Linked DNA regions of Macaca mulatta. The protein of the gene in region 3 interacts with the protein of the main gene of each other region in a pairwise test. Links are inferred from orthologs where the notes say so. Each region holds a gene or a part of one and is shown on either strand. Other genes may lie near its edges. The genes, in order: SEC22A, AGR3 and ERLIN1.

Region 1 (4,315 bases), on a different chromosome or scaffold from region 3:
ATTTCTCCTCACCTTTAATACACAGAAAATATTACACCTGCCTTTGGACAGCAGCAGTTAACTCATAGGGAACCGGAACAGTGGCTATTTTTTCCTCTCCCCATCAGCAACTGTTGGAGGAAAAAGCACAAGTTAGAATCTAGGTAAATCTGGGTAAACTTTTACGTAAAGTCTGAGGAAAATAAATTCCCACAATGCCAAACTACTATGGTAATGAATGGTTAGCAAGTTCTCAGACCCAAGATAACAAGACACCCCTCTTCTTCAGAACCTTGTGTGGGTAATGACTATGGGCTCAATGTCTCAGGAAGGTATCTCTCAAAAGGTAATAAATAAAGCCCAACATATAAGTGGATTTTGTATATACGTTCTAACCAAATGCTTTCACAAATGCCACTTTTAAGATAAAAACATTTTATACTGGGGGCAAAAGCACTCATATTTGTTTTAGTTCGTAATTTCCCAGTCTTCAGTCATCCAAGTACCACTTTCAGAATTATCTTCATCCATCTGTACTATTTACCTAATATTGGTCTTTGAATTGACTTACTTTTCTTGTCCTTTATTTTTTAGTAATAATATCTGTGAAATCAGTTTTGAGATATTAAGTTTTTCTCCTAATTTAAATTAAAAGAACTTGTTTCATTCAAATATGTATGTGTGTGAAAATTTTGGGAGAACTTTAATATTCATTTGCTTATCAAATTATCTTGCATATGTGACAGTACCAATATGGTACATATTATTTTATTACAAGTGCTAGCTGAGATCTGTGGGAATGGGAAAGGGTGGTAGTTAATTTGGACAGAAAGCTATACTACTTGTGATACACAGGGAGGGTGGGGGATAGATTGGGTGATAAAGAGGATGGAATTTCTGTCATTTTGCCTATGCCCTCTACCTCACTAGCAGTGTGTGACATTCCTATTATGGGTGCTTACACTGCACAGTATGTATAAGACCTCAGACTTCACAACAGATTTTACCCACATCTAGGACAGGGCCCCCAATACATGCTCAAATGTGTCAATTCCAACACTTGTATAGTGCCACATAGTTCACAGTTGGGTAGGTAGAACTGCCAATTTACAGATGAGGAAACTGAGGCTTACTTTCTCAACGTCACACTGCTAGTATATAGCAGAACTGGTACTTCAGTCTAAGTTTCTAGTATCTACACACTACTATGCTTCATCAGTCTACCAAAACCAACAAGAGATAAGAAACCAGGGATATAGAAACTCCTATTCACTTGCTGCCTGGGTTCTAATCCTGGCTCCACCATGTAGCAGACATGTAAATTTGGGCAAGCTTTGCCTTTCTACATCTATACATTATGGCTACTAACAGTATCTATCTCATAGGCTTATTTTAAAGATGCCAATAGTATCTATCTCATAGGATCATGTAAAGCGCCTGAAACACTGCCTTGTAACATACTAAAAGCACTATATTAAATATTTGCTATATTATTTATTGATTACTCTCCATGGACCACGCACTTTATACACATTACCTCATTTAAGCCTTCCAAAAACCTGTGAAGTAGGTATTATTAGTTCCATTTTACCTTTGAGGAAATTCAAGCCCAGAAAGCTTAAGGAATTTTTTTAATCCCTAAACTAGTACGTGACAAAGTAGGGATTTAAACTCAGACCCAACTCTAACAACTCTGTGAGACACTCAAGGAAGGTCACAGGCACCCCTGTGATACCTGGGCCTCTTTCATAGACCAACATAAGATATACTTCGATTTTAACCAGTTGCACGCACACACACACAAAAAGGCACTAAACAGATGTGATGGTTTTCAACATAGGAAATACCCGAATGTCCCATTACTTTAGGATACGGTCACAGGTGTCAGAATCAAATACTGAAGGAACCTTAATATGCCAGAAATTGTAGGTACCGTTTAAGGCACCGCCTGATTCCTTCCGATCTTAGCATGTAAGCAAATATCAATAACATGAAAAGTGATTCAGAGTTTGAAAAGTGGCTGTTCCCCTGACTGAAGTTCCCAACATCTCCAGTCTGGTGGCTGACATTTTTGCTCTGGGCTAGGCTTTGCCTTGGCTGAATAGGCCCAGGAGGGACTGGTTCTCAAGCTAGCCCCCTGCCCCAGGTGGATGACCCAGGAAACTAAGCAGCAGGAGAAAAATTATCTTAAGCTGTCTTCACTGGCAGAGAGATTCAGGACAGCTGGGGCTTGTCCTTTTCTTTCGGAAGCCTCCTCCACTTGTTGAGCCAATTGCTCAGGTCTCCCTTCTGCCACATCGTTCCCAAAGTGACTCTTGAGGCAGGGTCTCAAGAGGTTTCCGTGAGCCAACACGGGCAAATATCTGGGTTCAGTGCTCACTCCATCCCCGCAAGACGTAAAGTAAGACACTGGTTCAAGTCCCATTCTGCCTAACAGAAATAGGAAATACCACCTCAAGCTCCCGCGGGCCACCTACACAGGTAGATCACCGTGTTTCTGACAACTGGGCGCCAGGGAATCCCTACCAACCTACTGACAGCCAAGTGCGACTGTCCCTCCCCTTTAGACACTCCTTCCCTGGCTGCCCAATACCCCAGGCGGCTCAGACGAGGCGCAACGGCCGCCCGCGTGGCCCCAGAGAAACCTCAAGTCGAAGTGGACGGGGTCCCTGCTTGCCCGTCCCTCCAGAGCTCCGCGGCCCCGGCTCCCACCCCAAAGGCACGGACTTGGCTCCTGCCCGTCGGGTAGGTCTTCAGTCCCGAGGGCGAAGACCGAGGCTGTCGCGGGAGGCAGGGAGAGGGAGGGGAGAGGCCGGCAGGGGTTCGAACGACCCCTAAGAAGGGAAGAAGAGGACTGGGAGGGGCCGGGTAGTACCTGTCGAGACGGGACCCGCCGCTCCGAGTGACGCACCCCGCAGTGCATTGTGGGGCCTGGGAGGGGCCTTTCGGCGGGGCTGCGCCGCGTCCAACGTGGCTCGCGCCCGCGGAATCAAACCACGCCCCCGTTCCCTCGGCTCGCCCAGGCCAATCGGATTCTGCAGGAAGGACACAACAACCCGCCCGATCCCAGGACCCGCCTTAGTCCCACCCGCTCCAGGAGAGATTGGCAGCGTCTCTCGCACCTGCGCCAGAAAAGTACAGTCCTCTGATGACAGAACTACGTTGACTTTAGAAATAGGGCCAATCCCCTCCGCTCGCCGCCCTGTATCTGCAGGCATTTTGTCTTTCACACGCGGCCCCTACAGCAGACACTTATAAAGGGGACAGGGAGAAAAGCCCCCTGTGGGTGAGCAAGGAGAGGACCTGGCCCCGTCTATACCCACACACAAGAAGGAAACAAACTATGGCAGAGAAGTGCCAGATGCCGACCCCTTGACCCCTTCCAGCTTTCGCATCGGTCATGCGTTATTAAACAGGCATTTACTGGCTGTTTACCATGTGCCAAGCACCGTGTTAAACGCGGGGTTACAGGAGTGGACATAACACTTGATGGAATTTAAGACGTAATTGGAGCAAAAGATATGAAAGCATAAATAGTTACAGAATTATAAATTGTGATCAGTACTGGGAGGGAAAATTAGTGGGTGCAATGATGAATTAATTTTGGACTGTCAGGAAAGAGACTTCTGAATAAGTGCCTTTTAAGCTGCAGGCATATTAAAGAACCTTAGAGAATGTTCCCCGTCAAGGAACTATTATGTGTGAGGTTGTTGGGGCATGAAAGAACTTCTTGTGCTCTAGGAAGTAAAAGGAAGTCAGTGTGGATGGAGTGTAGGGAGCAAGGAGAAACTTCCAAAATACAGCCTGAAATCTGTAATGTGGCCAATAAGAGCCAGCATGGTCTGGCCCTTGTCTCATCTCAGCCCAAGGTCAATGGGCAACTAATAAAGACTATTAAGTAGGATCCTATTTGCATATTTAAGAATCACTCAGGCTGTTTGTGGAGAATAGTTCGGAAGAGGGCAAGAAAGGCTGCTGGAAGGCCATTTGGAGGCAGTTGCATCAGGCAAAGCCAGAAATGATGGCTTGAACTAGTATAATGGGAGTTAGAGACAGAAAGAGGTAGATAATTTCAAGATATGTATAAATTAGAGATGGTATCCAAGGGACTTAATAACAGATTGGTTTGCCGGGAAGGGTCAAGAAAGAGGAATATTAAGGATGACTCCTTAAGTAACTAGATGGATTAAGAAGCCATTTACTGATTCACAGAACACAGGAGGAGGAGCAAATGGCTTGGAATATGTTAAATTTGAAATGTCTATAAATAGAGATGTCAAGTAGATTTGGATATGTAGGTCTAAAGTTCAGAAGAAAGGCCTGAACTAACATAGAT
Region 2 (4,170 bases), on a different chromosome or scaffold from region 3:
ATTAGACCATGAGATATTTTAAAAAGCAATCCAAATGACTGAGTTTAGAAAATAAAATGAGATTACAGCACCTCTTGAGAGTGTCTGAGGAGGCCTCTTTTCCTTCTTTATTGCAATGGCAAGGTTGGAAGAAACTGCGACGAGTAAGAGGCAGAGAGCCAAAGCTGAGTGTAGCATCGTGTCTTCTAGAGAATCTCTCAGAAGAAGCTAGATGACAGAAAGGAATTCTCAGAATCTAGTGAGTTGCTTCAAGCTATTATTAAAAGATATTTGCTAAGAGTTGGACCAATACTGTGACGACAGACTGTTCTGCTTTTTTGATTTGACATGGTATAACCAACCACATAGAACTTTCATTCACATTTTATTTTTAAAATACTTAATCAACTCAATACATGCTCAGTTGGTGAGAAGTCACGTTCTGAGCATCCTGGGCATAGTGCTGTATAATTAAAAGACAGCTGGTTCAGGGCACACAAAGCCTGCTTCTGAATCGCCCTGTAGTGTTCACACCACCAAGATGAAACTCAAATAAGATTATGTTTTTTAATGTCTTGTAAACTATAAAGTGACTTTTAGCATGCAGAAATATTCTTTGCCTTTTGATTCTCCTGTATCTAGTAGGTCAAAACATTTTGACTCTATACCAAGATAAGATTATACATGAACAAATATTGCTTAAAATAGAAATCAGAGGAAAAATAGAATATGGAGGATTCTTGTCCTTCAGTTCCTTTATAGTTTCTTACCTTTCTCATCCTTTCAACAATTAATCAGAATTTTGCCCTTCAGTTTATAATACAGCTCTTTATAAAAATAAAATACTGTCATATTACTATACATTAGACATATGTATAGAGAAGCGTAGACGTGCCATGATTACATTCTCTCCTGGTTAGCTAGAATTCAAACCAATTCTTAACTCAATGTGAGTCTTTTATACTTTGCGCATTAAGATAAAAACTAAAGTCCAAAGTTGGACCTGATCTGGATCTGGTCATAAACCACTTGATAAATATATTACAGGAAGTCTGTAATACTTGTGAGATGTTTAGTTACAGCATTAGCATATAAAACTCATTTGAAAATGGTTGGCGCATGCAGTTTTGAAACTTTACCTCAAAATATAAAATAAATATACAGATATCCTTCACATTTATTTAAAGTTCCTTTAAGATGTCTTTCCTATTGACTTACATTATTTAGTATTGAATTTGTCACCAAAATAGTAAAATTTCCTTAGCCAAGCGAGTCTCCTGCCTTGGTCTCCCAAGTAGCTGGGGTTATAGGTGTGTACCACCACACCTGGCTAATTTTTCTATTTTTAATAGAGACGGGGTTTCAGCATGTTGGCCAGGCTGGTCTCAAACTCCTGACCTCAAATAATCCACCTGCTTCAGCCTCCCAAAGTGCTGGGATTACAGGGGTGAGCCACAGCTCCCGGCCTCCTTTCGTCTCCCCTCCTCTCCCCTCCTTTCCCCTCCTCTCCCCTCCTTTCCCCTCCCGTCCTCTTCCGTCCTTTCTTTCCAGGCATATAAAAACCCTGTTAAATAATGATCATGGTGCCTGATAAGGATTTCAGTTTAAGTTTCCATAACTTATTAAGCCATAAAACATTTCAGAATGTCATCTTGTACCTTAAGGCCTCGGTCATCTTGTACTTTAAAGACTGAAACAAAGAAAGGGTGGATTTTAGTAGAGGACAGGGACATTTGACTCTGGAACATGAAACCCAACCCAGCAAAGGCAGCCATAGTTAGACAGGTTGGGAGTTGCAGTGGAGGAACTGAAGTAACCATCTAGGACAGGATCTTAACCTGAATCCAGCAGGCTTCTAGAAGGCCTGTGGATGAGCTACAGAAGGCTCAAAACCCCTGGAAATTGCATGCAAAATTTTATCTGCCTGTTCCTTTTCCATGGGAATAGGGTCCAAAACTTCATTAAAATTCTTCCAGGGATCTTGGATATAAAGAAGAGTTAAGAAAAGTCAATCTGGAGGGCACTTTAGAAAGATTTTTCTATGTTAGGTACAGAGACAAGCAGGTGGAATCTGCATTTTAAAAAAGAAAAAGCATAACTTCATCATTTTTGCTATTTTAAAGCTGCCAAGCTTAGAGTTAGGTGGGAACATTTTTTTCCTTAAAATTTCAAATATTTATGTATTATTGTCAAATACTTTCTAATTAAAAAATAAAAATCTTGGTTTTCTGGTTTTACATTGATAAATTATAAAATAGGTATTAAATATATTCTGTGACAAAGCAGTACAACTTGTACATTATAGATTTTGAATAAATAATGCTTTCCTTGGTAACATACACTGTAAATTGCTGAGGGTCCTTTAGAATCAGTTGCAAGGTTAAGATACTTGGGGGAACACAGATAAATATGGCATGGTTACAGGCCTATAGCAGCTTAAAATGCATTTGGGAGGCATATAACCATATGCCAGAAATTAGGTTGTATAAACATTGGTCAATTAGCATTTTCTGACATTAGTATTTTATTTTTCAAAAGTAATTTAACATAAGTAACTGATATTATAAGCACCTATATTTTAAAATAAAACAAGACTTAAAAGACTATAAAGAAGAGCTATTAATACTTGTAGAATAATTTTTAAAGAGTTGTTTTTGTGGTTGATGTCAATTTATTCTAATACCATTAATATAAATAGAGATAAAACTATGAAACTAGCAAAGGAAATCCAGTTCGGTAAAAGAAGAAAATTAAAAATTCATTTCACTTTCCCAGCCTTTACTGAAAGCTTCACTTTTATATAGCAAAAGGTGATTATTTAAATATTGCAAAGCTTGACCACTGATTAAGTAATCTGGAAACTTTGCTTGCTTACCTGACTTGGCCAGTGCTCTTGTTGGAAATGTACTCTGGATGTTTCTGGTTAAAAATGGGTGTGGATTTATAGACACACACACACACCTGACCTACAACCTCACCTGCATAGAAACAAGAGCATAGTTACCGGAAAACAAACTTTAGAAAGTAGGCTGGTCTGAAAAACTCTGTGCTTCTTTCCAGTTCTCATGCTTCTCACACTAACAAAGCGCTTTTCTTTTTCTCTAAATTCAGATTGAATGTCCTCATAAAATGAGGTTAAATACCATCTTTGTGGTTCTTTCTCTTTTACTTTTTATTTCCCAAGGTAATTTAATGTTTGGCTGAAGTTCAGCACACACACACAAAAAAAAGGAAGAAGGAAACCGGACTGAATTTAAGAACTGTGTGCATGCCATTGTTCTTGATGTGAGTGCTGTGAGGCTTGCAGATTAGAAAGAAAGCAAATAGAAATTCCTAAGGGTTACTCTGTTTACAGGAATATAATTAACAGCTAAAGAGATTGAGTCCTTTTTTTTTTTTGAGAGAGAGAAGGAAATAATTCTGTTTTAAAATTGAACATTTTCATCATTTGATTATTCTTTACAATTTTTCTATAAAACCTTTACTGTGCACAAAATAGAAAACAGCAATTAGATGAGTTTAAATTTATCTAATAGATACTATTTAATTAATTGACAGTAATTATTTAATTACTGTTAGAATAATGTAGGGCAGGATGTCATCAGATTTGTTTTTTTGCACAGCCCAGGAAACAGGAACGATTTTGACATTTTTAAACGGTTGGGGAAAAAAACCAAAATAATCATATTTTGTGATATGTGAAAGTTATATGAAATTCACTTTCAGTGTCCATAAATAGAGAGAGATTTGGCGGATGGCATGCAGCCATGTGCATTTACTTACTAGTGTCTATGGCTACTTTTGCACTGCAACAGCAAAGTCCGGTACAGTCCAGGACAGTGGATACCAAAATCTGTGCACACTAAGTCCCATATCTGGCCCTGCGTAACCCACAGATACGAAAAGTTGGTCCTCCATATGTGCAGGTTTGGCATCCCGTGAACACAGTATTTTTGATCCACTTTGGCTGTGGATGCAGAACTTGCTCATATGAAGGACTGTATTTATTTAAAAAAAAATTCTCCTCTATGTGAACCCACACGATTCAAACCTATGTTGTTTAAGGGTCAGCTGTGCTTGTGACAGGGACTGTATGATCTGCAAAACCGAAAATGTTTACTATCTTTAGTAAATGTTTACAGAAAATGTTTATTGAAGCGTAATCCAGGGTATTGTTTATAAATTCCTTTC
Region 3 (3,649 bases):
TATGCCTCTCAGTTCATCTTCACACTGCTGGCCAAAGTGTAAATCTGACTGTCATGCCCTTGCTTGAAAACTTTGATAGTTCCTTATTACCTCCAAACTAATGTATGCTTTTTAGTATGAACTTTAAAGTTAGCCCCTGTTTGATGGGCTAACCAGCAGGTGTTTGGTATTAGTATTGCAAATACAAGGGTATTTGGAAAATTGAGCACAAGCAACACATCAAGATTTGTTAGTTGTGGTTTTTGGTTTCACTATTTTGTTGGCACTTTTCCTCATGTGTAGTATATCACCCTGACTTTGACCCTGGCTGAATTTGAAGGTACCTGAGTCATTGTTGGGTAAAACAAACATGGGTTGTACCTCTCCTTCAGTGTTTGATATCGTGAAGAACTATACTGCAGATTATGACAAGACTTTAATCTTCAATAAAATCCACCATGAGCTGAACCAGTTCTGCAGTGCCCACACACTTCAGGAAGTTTACATTGAATTGTTTGGTAAGTGTCTTAATTCTTTTAAATATGTAAATAGCCAACTGGAAATCTAGTTCAACTTATTGAGATATTGGTAAACCTTAGTGCTATTTAAGCATTTGTTCTGAATTTATCATAGAGCAATTGTCTTTAAAATATTTTTTATCTTAAGTTTAAAAATTTTTGTATAATTTGGTAGAGATTGGAAAAACTACTCACAGACTATATTCTGTTTTTACTGTAATAACTTACTGAAAATAGCTTTGTTACTATTTTAATAGATAATTTGAAAAATTTAGAAACCTGTGTCTTGAGGCTCCCATTTCTGATGATTTGGTAGGAGACTGACACGACTCAGGATATAGTTGTGGTCACAGCTAAGATTTATTACAGCCAAAGGGTACAAAGCAAAATCAGCGAGAGGAAAAGGCACATCAGCAAAGTGCAGAGGAAAGCAGGTGCAGGCTTCCAAGAGTCAAACATGTGCCTAATTCCCACAGCAACAAGCTATGACAACACATGTCAAATGTTGTCTACTAGGGAAGCTCATTAGAGACTCATTGCCTAGGGTTTTCACTGGGGGCTGGTTATGTAGGCACCCTCTGCCTACCACATAACAAAATTCCAGACTCCTAGAAGGAATGCAGGTGTTTGGCATAAACCACATTGTATAAACAGTTCACAGCAAGTCAGTTGTATTAGCTCTGGGGATGGTGGGACCCTTCCACAAATCCAAGTTCCTAGGTTCCAAACAAGGACCAGTTTGCAAAAGGCCTTCCTAAGGATCGCAGTATCAGCCCTGCTTTCTTAACTCACTTCTGTACAACTTAGCTTTTCATTTATGATAGTGGAAATTCTGACCAGGCAATGAGTTGTTGCTGTTGGTAGCTCACTTTTCCCTCCTGAAATTTTTAGTGAATTTCTAAGATGAAGGAATAAGCAAGAGTAATCAATTTAAAATCTATCAATTGAGTCCTCTTTGGTGATTGTCAACCACTGCAGTGGCATGGGAGAAAACTGATGGGTCCTGCTTTGTCTCACCAGCAATCATTTAAATAGCTGAAGTACCATTGAGGTGAAGAGAAAGTGCATGGCTACAAGCCCAAGTGTTCCTGCTGTGTGTACTTCAAATACTTTTCTATGAGCTTTTCTCTCTGTCTCTCTCTTTCTCTCTCTCTTTAAATCCAAAATAACAGTAAGGCTGAGATCCATGGAAATGAAGTTTAGTTATATGGGAATTCGAGTAAAGATTTACTGAAGGTAGAAATTTGCTTTTCTTTGAGAATCAGGATACATATTGAGTAAGAGCCCTGAATTAAGATACTAGAGATCCAGATTCTCCATTTATTAGATCAACATATTTTACCCAGTAGTTGTTTATCCAGTAAATAAGTCTAGTAAGTTACCCAGTAAATAAGCTTATCCATAGTTAAGTAGCACATTTAGTGGGTGAACTTATTGGATAAACAGACTATCTGCTTGTCATCTTCCTTAATTTATTAAATAATTCCTCACAATTTTTTTCCCCACACAAAAGAGAAGAAAAGGCAGTTTAAGCTCTGTAAAAGAATAGTACTGTGGAAACTTTAGGTCTAATAGTGATTAGTTTTGTTTCGTGAATACAGTGTAAAAAAAATTGAGTATCATGAGATCTGTTGTTCTTGGCTTAAAAAACAGATCAAATAGATGAAAACCTGAAGCAAGCTCTGCAGAAAGACTTAAACCTCATGGCCCCAGGTCTCACCATACAGGTAAGTTCTTTTCCTAGGGAAGTTCTCTGGGGATTTTGAGAGTTTTGAGTTTGTTCCTCCTTTCATTGGATTGTTTATTCAGCAATTATTTGGGATGCTGTGGTGATTTATAGAATACCTTTCTCAATTTGACTTCAGATCTCTGCCAAAATAAAATACTCTCGTAGCTTATTATGGGTGACATTTGTGAACTCCTAGAGGGAACTGATAAGCTGAGGCTCTTACAAGGAAGTCAAATTTATATTTCTGCCATGTATGAAGCACTAAGATACAGTAATGGTTATAAATCAGTGTAAGCATAATCCCTGCCCTCAGTAAGATTATGGAAAGGGAGTTCAAGTGTAAGATTTGAACAATTCTGGACAGAATAGTTATCACAAAGTATTAATTGACAGATAAATCTATTGAATGATTATTGCTGTAAGAGTAAGAGAACATTGGAAGACAGTGTGTCTAGGAGAGGGCTATGATTGAGTTGAGATTTTAAGTAGGTTTGGAAAAATTAATTGGATTTAAATGGGGGAAGAATGAGAAAGGTATTTCAAGTGGGAGGGAGAGCCCTAGTAAAAGCAAGGTAGCAGGTGAATTTAGTGGTAGTGGTGATGGTGACATTGGGAAATAGAATGGTGAGAAGTTTTACCCCTGCTTTTTTTTGAGTCACTGTGTTTTCAGATTGTGGGTTTTAAATCAACTTTAGTGAGTCATGAACAGAATTTTAAATAAAATGAAATAGAATAAGAAAAGAAATGGCATGTAGTAAGTTTAAATATTCTGTGAAACTTGTGTTTCACAGTCTGGGAGGGTAGGTGTTTATATTGGGTGTCAGTGCAAAATGTGTTTCTCACTGTGTCCACAGTCAATAACATTCGAAAGCCACTGCTCTGAATCTAGATAACCTAAGAAGTGGTATTGAGGCTTCTCTAGTGTCCTTTTACAGGGGCTCTAGGAGACCAGTTGATTGTTGATTGTTGTGATGAACATTACTGCAACCAAAGTTTATCACATGTCTCTCAATTCTTTACACTCAGTGCCACTGCTACTGAGAGTGTGCACTCACTGTGATTGTATGTGTTTGTGCTTCCTCATAAACCAGACTCGAAAGATAGGTGGGGTTTTTCTCATGGCCTCATTCATGCAATGTCATTATCTCAGACAGGCGCCTGAAGGTGAGCCACCAGAGTTAAGGGGTAGTTTGAAATACCCAGAGGTAACTTTGGAAAGTCCTCTGAGTTGTTCAAGTCAGTTGTAACTGGAGTAGCTTTTTGATTTTAAAGATAGTGAATGTGAAGTTCAGCTCTTCTTAGATTCTGCCCAGGGTGTTACTCAGAGATCTAGCTTATTCAACAGCTGTTTAGAATTCCTTGCCTTATGTTAGCCATTTTTCTGTTCCCAGTTTTTTGCTATTAAACAATAGTGTAATGAACA

What was found.
Region 1: the proteins of ERLIN1 (region 3) and SEC22A interact in binary tests that used the Homo sapiens proteins (3 or more experiments, as listed by UniProt). The two-hybrid records come from large-scale screens. The link is inferred for Macaca mulatta from reciprocal best matches to the Homo sapiens genes ERLIN1 and SEC22A.
Region 2: the proteins of ERLIN1 (region 3) and AGR3 interact in binary tests that used the Homo sapiens proteins (3 or more experiments, as listed by UniProt). The two-hybrid records come from large-scale screens. The link is inferred for Macaca mulatta from reciprocal best matches to the Homo sapiens genes ERLIN1 and AGR3.

The regions. Positions count from the first base shown.
Region 1 is NC_133407.1:160,563,951-160,568,265, forward strand, and holds the start of SEC22A (vesicle-trafficking protein SEC22a), read right to left. Parts: upstream 2,836-4,315; 5' UTR 2,707-2,835; intron 111-2,706; 5' UTR 13-110; intron 1-12. UniProt on the Homo sapiens protein: May be involved in vesicle transport between the ER and the Golgi complex.
Region 2 is NC_133408.1:111,392,531-111,396,700, reverse strand, and holds the start of AGR3 (anterior gradient protein 3), read right to left. Parts: upstream 2,899-4,170; 5' UTR 2,855-2,898; intron 1,670-2,854; 5' UTR 1,638-1,669; intron 208-1,637; exon of another isoform or gene 205-207; 5' UTR 178-204; coding exon 72-177; intron 1-71. UniProt on the Homo sapiens protein: Required for calcium-mediated regulation of ciliary beat frequency and mucociliary clearance in the airway. Might be involved in the regulation of intracellular calcium in tracheal epithelial cells.
Region 3 is NC_133414.1:112,220,967-112,224,615, reverse strand, and holds part of ERLIN1 (erlin-1), read left to right. Parts: intron 1-371; coding exon 372-497; intron 498-2,150; coding exon 2,151-2,224; intron 2,225-3,649. UniProt on the Homo sapiens protein: Component of the ERLIN1/ERLIN2 complex which mediates the endoplasmic reticulum-associated degradation (ERAD) of inositol 1,4,5-trisphosphate receptors (IP3Rs).